Anolis sagrei: one gene and its partner. The main gene of each other region encodes a partner of the protein of the gene in region 2 in a complex. Links are inferred from orthologs where the notes say so. Each region holds a gene or a part of one and is shown on either strand. Other genes may lie near its edges.

Region 1 (7,473 bases), on a different chromosome or scaffold from region 2:
TGCACCCACAGCCGTCAACGGGGAAATTCCAGATTGCAAAATCCACCCGGCCCAGAGATAGGTGGAAGGCCGTGCGACAAAGCGCGTCTGCGTTTTATTCTCGACTGTCATCGCTTTTCAGAATTTAATCTGCATTAGTAAAAAAGGAAGTCACCCCAAGGCTGATCTCACTCACCCCATCATAGTTTGGAGCTTATGATGATGGCACAGTTCCCTTTTTTAAAGATAGCCATGACACCTGTGGGTTAATATTGCTCCTTTTAAGGTAAATTCAAAACAAGGAAATAAGCAATCATCATTATCATCGATACATCTATACATTGGACTGGGTTCTGGCACAGCAGGTTGGGAGTCAGCTGCATTAAAAATAACTACTGACAGAAAGGTCATGAGTTCGAAGCCATCTTGGGTCGGAGTAAGCTCCCGACCATTTGTCTAGCTTGCTGTCAACCTTTACAGCCCAAAGACAGTTGCATCTGTCAAGTAGGAAAATTAGGTACCATTTATGTGGGAAGGCAAATTTAACTAATTTACGACGCCATAAAACTCTCCAGCAGAGTGCAAAAGAATGAGGAAGTACTCCAGCGGTGTCACAAGTGAAGCAACAACTCCCCTGGTGGCTGGAATTCAAAAAGCATACCCTCATGAAACTGGAAAATTAAATAGCCTCTGTGTGCCTGTCTATATATGTTGTGTGCCTGTGGCATTGAATGTTTACCATGTATATGTCCATTGTGATCCGAGGGTTGACCATGGATGATGGGACTTGCAGTATCATCACTCACTTACTGAAACCGCTGCGATCCTGAACCAATGACTGATCAAGACCAAACTTGGCACAAAGAGCCCTCATGACCCTATCTACATCCTGTTTCAGTTTGGAGAAGGGTGGATCATGGATGATGGGACTTGCAGTACCTTCACTCACTTGTTGAAACCACTACCACCCTCATCCAATGACTGATAAAGACCAAACTTGGCACGCAGAGCCCCCATGACCCACTCTATATCCTGCTGCTGTTTGGAGGAGGCTGGACCATGGATGATGGGACTTGCAGTACCTTCACTCACTTACTGAAACCACTACCACCCTCATCCAATGACTGATAAAGACCAAACTTGGCACACAGAGCCCCCATGACCCTATCTACATCCTGTTTCAGTTTGGAGGAGGGTGGATCATGGATGATGGGGCTTGCAGTACCTTCACTCACTTACTGAAACCACTACCACCCTCATCCAATGACTGATAAAGACCAAACTTGGCACACAGAGCCCCCATGACCCACTCTATATCCTGCTGCTGTTTGGAGGAGGCTGGACCATGGATGATGGGACTTCAAGTACCTTCACTCACTTCCCGAAAACAATGCAACCGTCATCCAATGACCAATAAAGACCAAACTTGGCCTACAGAACCGCCATTACCCACTTTCTCTAATAACCCAGGCAGCGCCGGGTTCCCAAGCTAGTACTGTAAATAAATAAATGACATCTATACACACAATAAAGGTGAAAATCTGCATATGGAAAAACTGGGGTTTATATATCTGTCGAATAATGTCCAGGGTGGGAGAAAGAACTCTTGTCTGTTTGAGGTAGATGCGAATGTTGCAATTGGCCACCTTGATTAGCATTGAATGGCTTAGCAGTTTCAAGGTCTAGCTTCTTACTGCCTAGGGGAATCCTTTGTTGGGAGGTGATTAGTTGGCCCTGATTATTTCTTGTCTGGAATTCCCCTATTTTTGAGTGTCGCTCTTTGTTTACCCCATTTTCCTAGTTTCCAACAGACCTCACAACCTCTGAGGATGCCTGCCATAGATGCGGGCAAAACATCAGGAGAGAATGCTTCAGGAACATGGCCAAAAAACCCAGAAAACTCACAACAACCCAGTAATTCTGGCCATGAAAGCCTTTGACAGCTCCAGAAGCGATCTCCAATGGGAATAAAGTTTGTGAAAGGCATTTAAAGATACGTTCATCCACTCTTTTTCTCTCTCTCCCCATGTTCCTCTTGCATTACTATTTCATTTATCGCAAGGCGAAAGGCAGGTTTTGAAGTCCCACCCTGTGGAACGCCTTAAATCAATACAGATCTGTCTCGAAATTTGGAAAATGTAAGCGACACATCAGCCTTAAAATGTCACTTGAGGTTCTGCCCTTGGTTTTCCGTTCCTGGCGTCTTACCTTGAAAATCGGAGTCCTCTTCTTAAAGTCCCTTCGTCCCTGTGCTGAAAAAGTTATAAACAAGTCCAGATGTGGGGCAAAAGAAATGACTGTTGTATTTGTTTGTTTTCTCTGGGAAATTCCCTTCATAATTTATCGCCCGCCCTCTTGGCCTTCGAGGACGTCCGGCAACTGTAGTGCCATCTAGTGAAAGCCTCGGCAAGAGATGCCTTCGACAATACAATGCCCCAAATAGACGAAAAAGGTTTCTTAACAACCAAACCGATGTCTCGGTTGCTGTGAGTTTCCCAGGCTGTATGGCCATGTTCCAGAAGCACCCTCTCCTGACGTTTCACCCACATCTATGGCAGGCATAGAATCATAGAATCAAAGAGTTGGAAGAGACCTCGTGGGCCATCCAGTCCAACCCCCTGCCAAGAAGCAGAAATATTGCATTTAAATCACGCTTGACAGATGGCCATCCAGCCTCTGTTTAAAAGCTTCCAAAGAAGGAGCCTCCACCACACTCCGGGGCAGAGAGTTCCACTGCTGAATGGCTCTCACAGTCAGGAAGTTCTTCCTCATCCTCAGAAGTTGTGAGGTCCGTTGGAAACTAGAAAAATTGGGTTTATATATCTGTGGAATAATGTCCAGGGTGGGAGAAAGAACTCTTGTCTGCTTGAGGCAAGTGTGAATGTTGCAACTGGCCACAGGGGAATTCCAGACAAGAAACAATCAGGACCAGCTAACACCTCCCAACAAAGGATTTCTCCAGGCAGCAACCAGCCAGGCTTTGAAGTTGCAAGGCCATTCAATGCTAATTAAGGTGGCCAATTGCAACATTCACACATGCCTCTAACACATAAGAGTCCTTTCTCCCACCCTGGACCTTCCACAGATATATAAACCCCACTTGCCTAGTTTACAACAGACCCTTCAACCTCAGAGGATGCCTACCATAGATGTGGGTGAAACGTCAGGACAGAGTGCTTCTGGAACATGGCCATACAGCCCGGAAAACTCACAACAACCCACTCATTTATTACCATTTGAAATATAGTGAAGATGAAATGTATTCTTTGCTGTATCTCTGCTCTATAATGGTAATATAATGATCTTTGGACATATCCATGGCTTCAAGTAAATATAATCTTACAGTATAATGCATCTGATAATTTATAACACACCAGCAGCAGCATTATATATAACTGATACCGCCTAGGTTTCTTTTTTATCAGCTCAGACTAAGATATCCCGGAGGGCAGAGGGAAGATCAGGGAACGCAAAGCTGTAGCCGCTCTCCAGAGTCCGCTTGGGCTCCACTCGCTGCCCTTCCAGCAACATGATGCTTCGTTCGGGGCCAAAAATGGCCGAAATGGCAAAACCCGGCAGGGGCAACAGGGCGGGCCGCCTGAGCACTGACCCCATCACTTGGGCAAAGTCCTTATTTGTGGTGGTAACAGCAGTTGGTGAGACGCCGTTCAGGATCCCGCTGACTCCTTCCCGTTCCAACGCATGGGCCAAAATGCCCGCCAAATCCGCCACGTGGATCCAAGGAAAAGGCTGGCGGCCAGAGCCGATGGGCCCTCCCACACCGAGGCGAAAGGGCCACAGCATTTGGGCGATGGCACCGCCGTCTCTGCCCAGCACAACACCTGTGTTCAAGTAAAGGAACAATAGCCATTTAGAGAGCAATGTTTAGTTCTGAGAACTTTCCACATCACTTTATTTATACTCCGCCGCATCTCCCAACAAGGGACCCAAAGCAGCTTATGGTCATAAAACATAGTAGATAACATAAAACAAAATAAGTAACATATCAAATGTATTATTATTATTATTATTATTATTATTATTATTATTATTTTACTGACACAAAAACACAGTATGCCACAGCAAACGAGAGGAGCCCCCGGTGGCACAGTGGGTTAAACCCCTGTGCCAGCAGGAGTGAAGACCGACAGGTCGCAGGTTCGAATCCAGGTAGAGGCGGATGAGCTCCCTCTATCAGCTCCAGCACCTCATGCGGGGACATGAAAGAAGCCTCCCACAAGGATGATAAAAACATCAAATCATCCGGGCGTGCCCTGGGCAACGTCCTTGCAGAAGGCCAATTCACTCACACCAGAAGCAACTTGCAGTTTCTCAAGTCACTCCTGACATGACGACAAAAAAAAAAAAAAAAAAAGCAAACAAGATCTATATGCTGGATTTCGTATCACAAAATCACAAGTCGAACACTTCCTAAGCATCTAGGACTGTGTGATGTATTTTCAAATGATGCACGCAGATCCAAGTCAGGTGGCCTTTTGCAGTTGACAGATCGTAATTTTGTCAATGTTTATTGTTTCCAAATGCCGCTGAGATCTTTTAGCACGGCACCCAGTCTGCCGATGACCGCTGGGACCACCTGTACTGGTTGTGTTGTTGTTGTTATTATTATTATCTTGTCAGCGCCAATTATGTTTAAGTGCAGGTCTTTAAGCACTGCACCCAGTGTGCCGATCACCACTGGGACCACATTGACTGGCTTGTTATTGTTGTTATTATTATTATTATTATTATTATTATTATTATCTTTTCAGCGCCAATTATGTTTAAGTGCAGGCCAAGGTCTTTAGCCACTGCACCCAGTGTGCCGATCACCACTGGGACCACATTCAGGTCTTCAAGTTCTTTCTGAAGACTGCCAATGTAGGAGCCTGTCTAAGATATTTGGGGAGGGTGTTCCAGAGTCGGGGGGCCACCACGGAAAAGGCCCTGTCTCGTGTCCCCACCAAACGCGCTTGCGACGCAGGTGGGATCACAAGCAGGGCCTCTCCAGATGAACGGAGAGAGCCTGTGGGTTTGTAGACGGAGATGCGGTCATGCAGGTAGGCTGGTCCCAAACCGTTCAGGGCTTTGTAGGTAAGCACCTGCACCTTAAATTGGGCTCGGTAGATAAACGGCAGCCAGTGGAGCTCCTTGAACAGGAGGGTTGACCTCTCTCTGTAGGGAGCGCCAGTCAACATCCTGGCTGCTGCTCGTTGGACCAGTTGGAATTTCCGAGCCGTTTTCAAGGGCAGCCCAACGTAGAGTGCATTACAGTTCCGATGTGCCTTTCCTGAATAGGAAACCTCCATTACCAAGTCCCACAAGGACTTTATTAAAGCCAAGACGGCCGCACATTGCACACTGCACTTGTCCATGAGCCTCATTTCCACCTGTCACATCAGCACTTTTAACCCTTGTACCCTTACTCTGGCCCGGCCCAGTTTTATTGTGCCTTAGTGGATTGTTCATTGCTTGTTGTTTTAGATTGCTTTAATTGGTTTAATTTGCCTAGGTTTTGTTGTATTGTTTGTTGAGGCCTTGGCCTTTGTAAGCCGCATCGAGTCCTGTGGGAGATGCTAGCGGGATACAAATAAAGTTTAATAATAATAATAATTCACTGGCTTGTTGTTATTATTATTATCTTTTCAGCGCCAAATATGTTTAAGTGCAGGCCAAGGTCTTTAGCCACTGCACCCAGTGTGCCGATCACCACTGGGACCACATTCACTGGCCTGTTGTTGTTGTTGTTGTTATTATTATTATTATTATTATTATTATTTGAAACACAACAAGATGAATCCACAACAAACAAGATCACTCTGCTGGCTGTTGTATTGGATCACACGTCAGACACTTCCCAAGTGTATAGGATGGTGTGATGTATCAGCGAATAATGCGTGCATATCCCAGTATAGTGGCCTTTTGCAGCTGACAGATGGTAAATTTGTCAGCGCCAATTGTGTTTAAGTGCAGGCCAAGGTCTTTACGCACTGCACCCAGTGTGCCGATCATCACTGGGACCACCTTTACTGGCTTGTGACAGAGTCGTATTATTATTATTATTATTATTATTATTATTATTTGAAACACAACAAGATGAATTCACAGCAGACAAGATCACTCTGCTGGCTGATGTATTGGATCACACGTTGGGCACTTCCCAAGTCTCTAGGACTGTGTGATGTATCGGCGAATAATGCGTGCAGATCTCAGTAGGGTGGCCTTTTGCAGCTGGCAGATGGTAATCTTGTCAGCGCCGATTGTGTTTAAGTGCAGGCCACTTAAATAATTATTGATAAATAAATAATTCGGTAAATAATTATTAATAATTTAATTAATTAATTAATATTAGTAAATAAATTAATATTAATAAATAAATAGATCATTATTATTATTATTATTATTATTATATATCAAATTTAAAACAATCACAAAATTAACACAATCCAACCAATGTATCAATAGAGGATGCTCAACCCATCCAATTATACTTTGAGCAATCGGCCTATCCTGTGCTTCGTCTCACCAGATCTCACAACTGCTTGGCGTGTGACGTCACCAGGGATTCGAGCCACTGCTTCCCAGCGAGTTACTAGGCGAGAAAAGAAATCAAAATCTCCACCAGGACTGTCTTCTGTGTATTTTGTGGTGTGGCTGGGCCGGTAATATCCTAGATAAAACATTTCACAAGCATTTTATTAAGGTACATAGGAGACCTATCACCTTGCACTGCTGCACATAGATGTTTTCTCTATAATTGTGACTTAATTACCTTGTTTTTCTTAACACTCTTAAAACAGGAAGCATTTCGTAAAAGGAGCTTGCAGCAAAATAACAGTTCAGTTAATCACAAGGTGGTGATTTGTCCCCAGAAAACACGATAGCCCTAGGGTTGCCAAAAGTTGGAAACAATTTGAAGACGCACAACAACAGGTGATCATGAACTTTTCTTGGCATTTGTTCAGAGATGATTTCTGTTAGGAATTGTGGGAGTTGAAGTCCAAAACACCTGGAGGGCCAAAGTTTGCCCATGCCTGCTTCAGGTCCTTGTTGTGTTCTATTTCAAATGTATGGTGTTTACTTGTTAACAGCAGAAGCAGCATGACCCATGTAAGAAAATTAAGCGGAAATCAACAGGAAAGTGGGGAAAGTCTAATTTCACACTTTTGCACCATAAACTTATTTTTCTTGTTGTCCCCGTTACACTTTTTCCAGACTCGTGTCTTCAACCACATCACCTTCTGTCCTTCTCTGTTTCGCAACCCCTATTTCCTTTCAGTTGCCTTGCGTATCTTCCTTCCTGTTGACTTCACGGCATTACCCTTTGTCCCCAGGTGTTTTCCTTGGTTTCCTTCCTCCAAAGCTTCCCCTTATATAACCTGTGCCATTGGTCAACACTCTTCTAATAATACCTTCAACCTCAGAAGCTGGAATATCCGGAAGCGTTCCAAAACATCACAGCAATTTGTTTAAAGGTTGGCTTTGGCCAGAAAT
Region 2 (7,527 bases):
CTTCATAAAATTATAACCTTGAAGTGGCTAAAGATGGTCAAGGAGCTGTAATAGCTACAAAATTATGTGCAATGAGCTTTGGAATGGCCTCGGATTACAATTGTGGGTGCCATGATTTTTAATAGTGATTGCAATGTTTTATGTGTTTTAATGTGCATTAAATTTTAAATTTTCAATCTTTAACTTAATGTATTTTAACTGTTTGTTGTTCAAAGGCACTGAATGGTTGCTATATGGAAAGCCATCTTGAGTCCCCTTTAGGATAGAGAAAGACAAGATACAAATAGAGTAAATAAATAGTAAATTGGCTCAAGTAAGAATAAAACCTTCAACTCTCTTATACACAAAGGGAGGGAGAGGGATCCTCCCTCCACTCAATTTTCCAGTTCATGTTTTTCTTTTTTTATACCAGGAAGTCAGAAGTTGGTGCCCTGGTGTTTCCAGCTCTCCTTTTAAATTGTTTTCAACGTATTTCCAGCTCTCCTTTTAAATTGTTTTCAAACAATCACAATGGTGATTTCTGAGCATGGCAAACTAATTTACTTCCAATTTGCATAGAATTTATGAAGAATAACAAAGATATATAAAGCGTCCCCATATTGTCTCAAAGACAAGGCTTCTGTTTATTGTGACTCTGTGCCAAATGTAGTTGTAGACACAGGGACAAGCTTCCTGAAAATCTCAAAGTTGTTTCACAGTAGTTTTATAGGTACGAAGAAAGACATTTGCCATGGGATAAAAACATGGAAAGGGATGAACTTTGAGCCCTCCTTCCGCACTCACAACCTCAAGGAAAACCATTATTATGACTATTAGCCACCACTGCCATCACCCATTAATGAATGTCCATATTATCAGGAACCATGTCACTCTCCCTGAGCACGTTAATGCAGCACACAATATGAATGCCAAAACAGGTCTAGTTTTTCAAAGGTCTCCCCTTCTACACCTCAGTTGTTAACTTTCATGTATGAACCAAATCACATAGGATAAGAAGTGGGAAAATTTACTATAGTTTTTCAGTATCTCATAAGGTCTCAATCAATTCAACATAGTTTGTGGCAGCCACAAAAACAAAGTTTCTAGGGTATAACAACTACTTTCAAAGTGAGTACCGTACAATTAAACAGGAAATAACACTTGCAGACCGGGAACAGATTTTTTTCTCTCCAAATTTTGTTACATATTATCATGTCAACTTCCTATGGAATCCTGGGATTTCCCATTTGGAGTCCACAGCAAGAGAGGTTCTCAGATTACACCAAAACCAGAAACGAGACCTATTGCAAGCCTCTAAGCCAGGGGTCCTCAAACATTTTAAACAGGGGGCCAGGTCACAGTGCCTCGAACTGTTGGAGGGCCGGATTATAATTTGAAAAAAGCATGAATGAATTCCTATGCACACTGCACATGTTTTATTTGTAGTGCAAAAAACACTTTAAAACAATGTTATAATTAAAATGAAGAACAATTTTAACAAATATAAACTCAAATATCAATGAGAAGTGTGGGGCTGCTTTTGGCTGATGAGATAGGATTGTTGTTGTTGTGTGCTTTCAAGTCATTTCAGACTTAGGTTGATCCTGAGCGAGGGCCGGGTAAATGATCTTGGAAGGCTGTATCCGGCCCCCAGGCCTTAGTTTGAGGACCCCTGCTCTAAGCCCTTGCTCATCTTAAAACCAGAGGTCTATTTACACATTCATTCCCAACAAAGGCACAAGTATCAGTAAGTGTACAAATTATTTCCTTATTTCTTTATTTTATTTACTTCACTTGTATACCGCTATTCTCAGCCCTTAGGCGACTCATAGCAGTTAACAACAAAATAGCAAAAATTCAATGCAGCATAACAAGGTATTTAAAAACAATTAACAATTAACACAATAGCAGACTAAGCAATTAAACAACAATAAACATTCATTCATTGGCATCTCATAACTAGAATCATGATCCAAACTCGTCGTCCATAGTTCCATTTCCTAAAATTCATTGCACTGCCTATTCAAACGCCTGTTCAAATAACCAGGTTTTCACTTTTCTCCGAAATACCATCAATGAGGGAGCTGATCTAATGTCCATGGGAAGGGCGTTCCACAGCCGAGGGGCCACCACCGAGATACAACAACTATTAGTATTATACAACAACTATTAGTAATAATACAATGGATTTGTTCATTCTGAAACATGGCTTTTCTTTTGAAATACATTCACAAAACCTATAATTTGAGCACAGCTGAAAATTCAAATCCATTACCTAACACACATTCATTTGAGAGTAAATGGGGTCAAATTTCCAAAATTACATTAGTCTTTATTCTTCTGGTTTATCCTATTGGTCCACAACAACAACAACATTATTTAGGTGTAAAGTGAGCTATCTCACTATAGTTGCTGGGTGACGTTTGTCTTTCATGCCTTCTAACTAAACCAGTGATTCCCAAACCTTTTTGACTAGGGATCTCTCTGACCAGGGACCACTCTCCAACATTAGTATCAAAAGGGTTACAAATCAGTTTTTGGTCAATTTTAAATTTGGTTTGGTTATTTGGGGTGCTGATTCAGAAAATTGCATTAGATAGACCACATCAGCTCTAGTTCTGATACAGAACATATGCCATCGAGTAGTTACCATCTGTTCACCCACAGAAAACAATATTTAATAAGCCTCGGTACTATGACAGGGTTTTGCGAGACCAGTCGCTCTTGTTGCAATAGTGTAGTAATGGTGAGGCCACAGACCATATTTTAGTTCTTGCAGAACACCGGTGGTACACAGTTCGCTGGTTGGAAACCACTGAACTAAGCAGTGCCAGTTGAACTTGAGGCTAATGAAGAAAACAGACAGAAACTACATTTGCTTTGACTTTTGTCTCTTTTCTCTCTTGAGAGTTGGCTACCATGTCACAATGTACCAGTCCACTCACATCCATTTTTATCTCTTTCAATGCTATCAAAAGCTGCCTTCCTCATTTCCATCTTTTCTTTTTCTTCTCTCTTTCTTTCTAACCTCACCCCGCAACTCACCATCTGCCACGAGCAGGCCTGAAACATTTCTTCTTGATGTAGTTCTTGCAAATATGAAGACGTTCGCACCCATCACACTCATTCCTCAGACACAGACGCACCGGAGAGATTGCCAGCACCTGAGACGAGGTGCCTTGCTCATTGACCAGAAATCTTTCCTCCCCAGATTGCTCCAAGATCTGCCTTAACTGGTGGTCGGGAAGCCCCAAAACAGGAAGAATCTCCTGATAACTTGAGCTGCCCCCCATGGAGCAAAGGATCTTGGTGATAAAACTACACACAACCGGATCAGTCATGATCAATCTCTGGTCTGTCCACCTGTCTGTTAAAGAGTTGTTTGGTTTCAAGTCAGACCAACCTAGGCTCCACCTATTTTCCCTGCAACTCCGAAGAGAATCGAAACTGAAGACAAGTAACTCCCTGGCAACTTAACTCTGTCATATGAATGCTGGAAACAGAAAGTCAACAAAGGTAGATCATTGATAGCACCACCTGACCTAAAGGGAGGCAAAGGGTGATTTATCAAAAATTCTTGGCGACTGAATTGCATTTTGAGCGAATGTCATCATTCTTGTTTTATTTAGGATTTAGGACTGTTTTATTTAGGATTACAGGGTGGTGGGGCAGTACTGATTTTAACTGTCATGTTTTGGCTTGGCTTTTAAAAAATGTACATTGTATTAGTTTCTGGCCACAAAGTGGAGTCCACAACATGCGGGTGTGGAGAAGAGCAAACCACAGACCACCTATCGCAATGCAGTCTGAGCCCTGCCACGTGCATAATGGAGGACCTTCTTATAGCAACACCAGAGGCACTCCAAGTGGCCAGCTATTAGTCGAAGGACATTTAGTACAAGGCCAAGTTTTTAAAACTTTGTGTTTTTTAAAATATATTACAACTGTACCCTCAGTTCACTTCTGATACGACAAATAAAAAATAAATAAATTGGATTAGTTTGCCCTAGGCCAATCAGCAGGATTAAAATCTGCAAATAAATAATGGCCTTTGTTGTTCATTCGTTCAGTCATCTCCGACTCTTCGTGACCTCATGGACCAGCCCACGCCAGAGCTCCCTGTCAGCCGTCACCACCTCCAGCTCCTTCAAGGTCAGTCCAGTCACTTCAAGGATGCCATCCATCCATCTTGCCTTTGGTCGGCCCCTCTTCCTTTTACCTTCCACTTTCCCCAGCATAATTGTCTTCTCTAGGCTTTGCTGTCTCCTCATGATGTGGCCAAAGTACTTCAGCTTTGTCTCTAGTATCCTTCCCTCCAATGAGCAGTCGGGCTTTATTTCCTGGAGGATGGACTGGTTGGATCTTCTCGCAGTCCAAGGCACTCTCAGAACTAATGGCCTAGTTGACCATTTTCACTCTACAACTATGGAGAGGGGCCCCACTGATGCTCAAAGGATATTCCAGGCATCACCATGCCATGGAGGCTACCTAGTCCTCATATCCAAGCTTGAAAGAGTTACTTCTCAACCATGGAATCTTCAGGAAGCCTCACTCTCTCAGCCTCAAAGGAAGGCAAAGGCAAACCTCCTTTGAAAAAAATTACCATGAAAACCCTATGATTTAATCTCTATACACTGAAAATAACATTTGGAAGACACATAATAACAACCAGACTGTTCTGTTCTTACTTTAAGAACAGAAAAAAATGGTAAGTATAATTTTAGCTGTCATAAAATTATCATTTTTGGTATATTATAATAACAATTTTATTATTATTATCAGACAGTAATTACAAATGGAATTGAATTTTCCTTTTCAAACATTCCTTTTTGTGGCACTACAAGGGGAGGAACTGTGGGGAACCATTTTGGTTTTGCCTATTTATTAACAGCAGGCAGATACCAATAAATTTATTATTATTTTATTTATTTGCTATACTTGTATACCGCCGTTTCTCAGCCTAGCCGGCGACTCAACGCGGTTTACACAACTTATAACAAACAACAGTATACAGTTTAAAAGCATAAAAACACGATCCACAATACATATATCAATAAACCATCCAATTCATCTCTTGACTAAAATCGCGATCCAGTTTCGTCGTCCAAATTGCCAGTCCTTCAATCATTACACTTATTGCACTGAGTTAACCGAACGCCTGCTCGAACATCCAGGTTTTTAGTCTTTTCCGGAAAACCATCAATGAGGGGGCTGATCTTACCTCCATGGGGAGGGCGTTCCATAGCCGCGGGGCCATCACAGAAAAGGCCCTGTCTCTCGTCCCTGCCAGCCGCACCTGTGAAGCAGGCGGGATAGAGAGCAGGGCCCCCCCAGAAGATCTTAGGGTTCTGGTGGGCTGATAGGTTGAGATACGTTCGGATAGGTAAGTTGGGCCAGAACCGTTTAGGGCTTTAAAGGCCAGCGCCAGCACTTTGAATTGAGCCCGGTAGCAGATCGGCAGCCAGTGGAGCTGGTGCAGCAGAGGAGTTGTATGCTCCCTGTGCTCCGCTCCAGTTAGTATCATGGCTGCCGAGCGTTGGACTAATTGGAGCTTCCGGGCCGTCTTCAAAGGCAACCCCACGTAGAGAGCATTGCAGTAGTCTAAACGGGATGTAACCAGAGCGTGGACTACCGTGGCCAAGTCAGACTTCCCAAGGTACGGGCGCAGTTGGCGCACGAGTTTTAACTGTGCGAATGCTCCCCTGGTCACCGCTGAAACCTGGGGTTCCAGGCTCAACGATGAGTCCAGGATCACACCCAAACTGCGAACCTGTGTCTTCAGGGGGAGTGCGACCCCATCCAACACAGGCTGTAACCCTATACCCTGTTCGGCCTTACGACTGACCAGGAGTACCTCTGTCTTGTCTGGATTCAATTTCAATTTGTTCGCCCCCATCCAGACTGTACATCCACTCTTTGCAGATACTTTTGGGTGAAGAACACAACAGAAAGCCTTCAAATAGATACTTCCAAAGTGTACCTGCCATGGCTCAATGCCATGGGATTCTGGGAGTTGTACTTTTATCATGATCTTTAGTCTTCTCTGCCAAAGAGTGCTGGTGCCTCACTAAAAAACAAATCCCAGGGTTTTATAGCACTGAGCCATGATGGTTAAAGTGGTGTCAAATACATTAATGCTAAAGTGTAGGTGTACCCTAGGGAATCTCACGGGGAAAATAGGAAATCAGAAACTCCCTCTTGTTTCCGAACAAATGTAATCATGGATCTAAAAAAGACAGTACCTTCCAAAAATTAAGGAACCAGTGTGATTTGCACATTTGACTCCACATTCAGCCATAGAAACCCATTGGGAGACCTTAGGGGAGTTACACACTCTCAGCCTCAGAAATCCCTGTGATAGGGTCATCATAGGATGTTCATATGTTGGGAACAATTGAAAGAACACAGCAACAACAACAGAAATTAACAATATATAAACAGAAATTCTTCCTTATGTTGCTCAAATAACAAGCATAAGGCAGAACTGAAACCACAACTTCTGTTTATTCAAAAACTCATGTGATATTAAAGCCAAAGAGACGAGTCATCAGCAGAAGCACTGAAAGGTTGTTGACAATGTACACACAAATTCACTGATACACCCTAGCCACACTCAGCGCTATCACACTGTTAAATATTTATTGTTAAATTTTGTTGTTGTTCATTTCCTTCAACTGTCAAAAATCAAAACATCCTTTGAAGTTACATCTACCTTGCTTACATCAGACCTTTGTATCGGTATCAGTTCTATTTTAATGGACTGTTAGACCCGTCGCAAACTAGCCTCCTGCGGGAGCAAACTGTGCCAGCACGTCCCTGACGTCGTGAGACTGCGCCTCTCTCTCCGCCCCTTTCTCCGCCTCTTTCTCCATGCCAGAGTGGTTTTTCCTTCGCTAGGGCAGCATTGCCAGCGTACTCTCGTTGTTGAATTAGGCCCGTCGCAAACTCTGTTCCTGCGAGAGAAACCTTGCTAGCAAGTCCCTGACGTCACGAGACTCCGCCTCTCTCCCCGCCCCTTTCTCTGCCCCTTTCTCCATGCGAGCGTGGTTTTTCCTCTGCTAGGGCAGCATTGCCCGCATTTTCTCTCAGTTGGCAGAATTCAACTGAGAGAAAATGCGGGCAATGCTGCCCTAGCAAAGGAAAAACCACGCTCGCAAAGAGAAAGGGGCGGAGAAAGGGGCGGGGAGAGAGGCGCAGGCTCGTGACGTCAGGGACTTGCTAGCAAGGTTTCTCTCGCAGGAACAGAGTTTGCGACGGGCCTTATGTCAACAACAAGAGTACGCTGGCAATGCTGCCCTAGCAAAGGAAAAACCACGCTCGCAAAGAGAAAGGGGCGGAGAAAGGGGCGGGGAGAGAGGCGCAGGCTCGTGACGTCAGGGACTTGCTAGCAAGGTTTCTCTCGCAGGAAAAGAGTTTGCGACGGGCCTTATGTCAACAACAAGAGTACGCTGGCAATGCTGCCCTAGCAAAGGAAAAACCACTCTGGCACAGAGAAAGGGGCGGAGAGAGAGGCGCAGTCTCATGACGTCAGGGACGTGCTGGCACAGT

Evidence for each region. The genes of interacting proteins can lie anywhere in the genome.
Region 1: the proteins of protein mono-ADP-ribosyltransferase PARP12-like (region 2) and protein KHNYN are in contact, whole or in part, in a crystal structure (PDB 9BGL), measured with the Homo sapiens proteins. The link is inferred for Anolis sagrei from reciprocal best matches to the Homo sapiens genes ZC3HAV1 and KHNYN. Residues at the interface, in NP_064504.2 of Homo sapiens: Glu5, Val6, Cys8, Phe9, Lys12, Ile13, Ala16, His17, Glu29, Ile30, Ala31, Leu32, Leu113, Glu115, Phe118, Ser127, Gly128, Leu129, Asn130, Glu133; in NP_001277186.1 of Homo sapiens: His651, Lys652, Asp654, Phe655, Gln658, Arg659, Pro661, Tyr662, Asn677, Phe678.

What each region holds. Positions count from the first base shown.
Region 1 is NC_090026.1:12,981,350-12,988,822, forward strand, and holds the start of protein KHNYN, read right to left. Parts: upstream 3,123-7,473; 5' UTR 2,188-3,122; intron 1-2,187. Other genes in the region: epimerase family protein SDR39U1, read right to left, coding at 3,406-3,821, 6,506-6,649.
Region 2 is NC_090025.1:101,486,546-101,494,072, forward strand, and holds the start of protein mono-ADP-ribosyltransferase PARP12-like, read right to left. Parts: upstream 3,387-7,527; 5' UTR 3,321-3,386; coding exon 3,025-3,320; intron 1-3,024.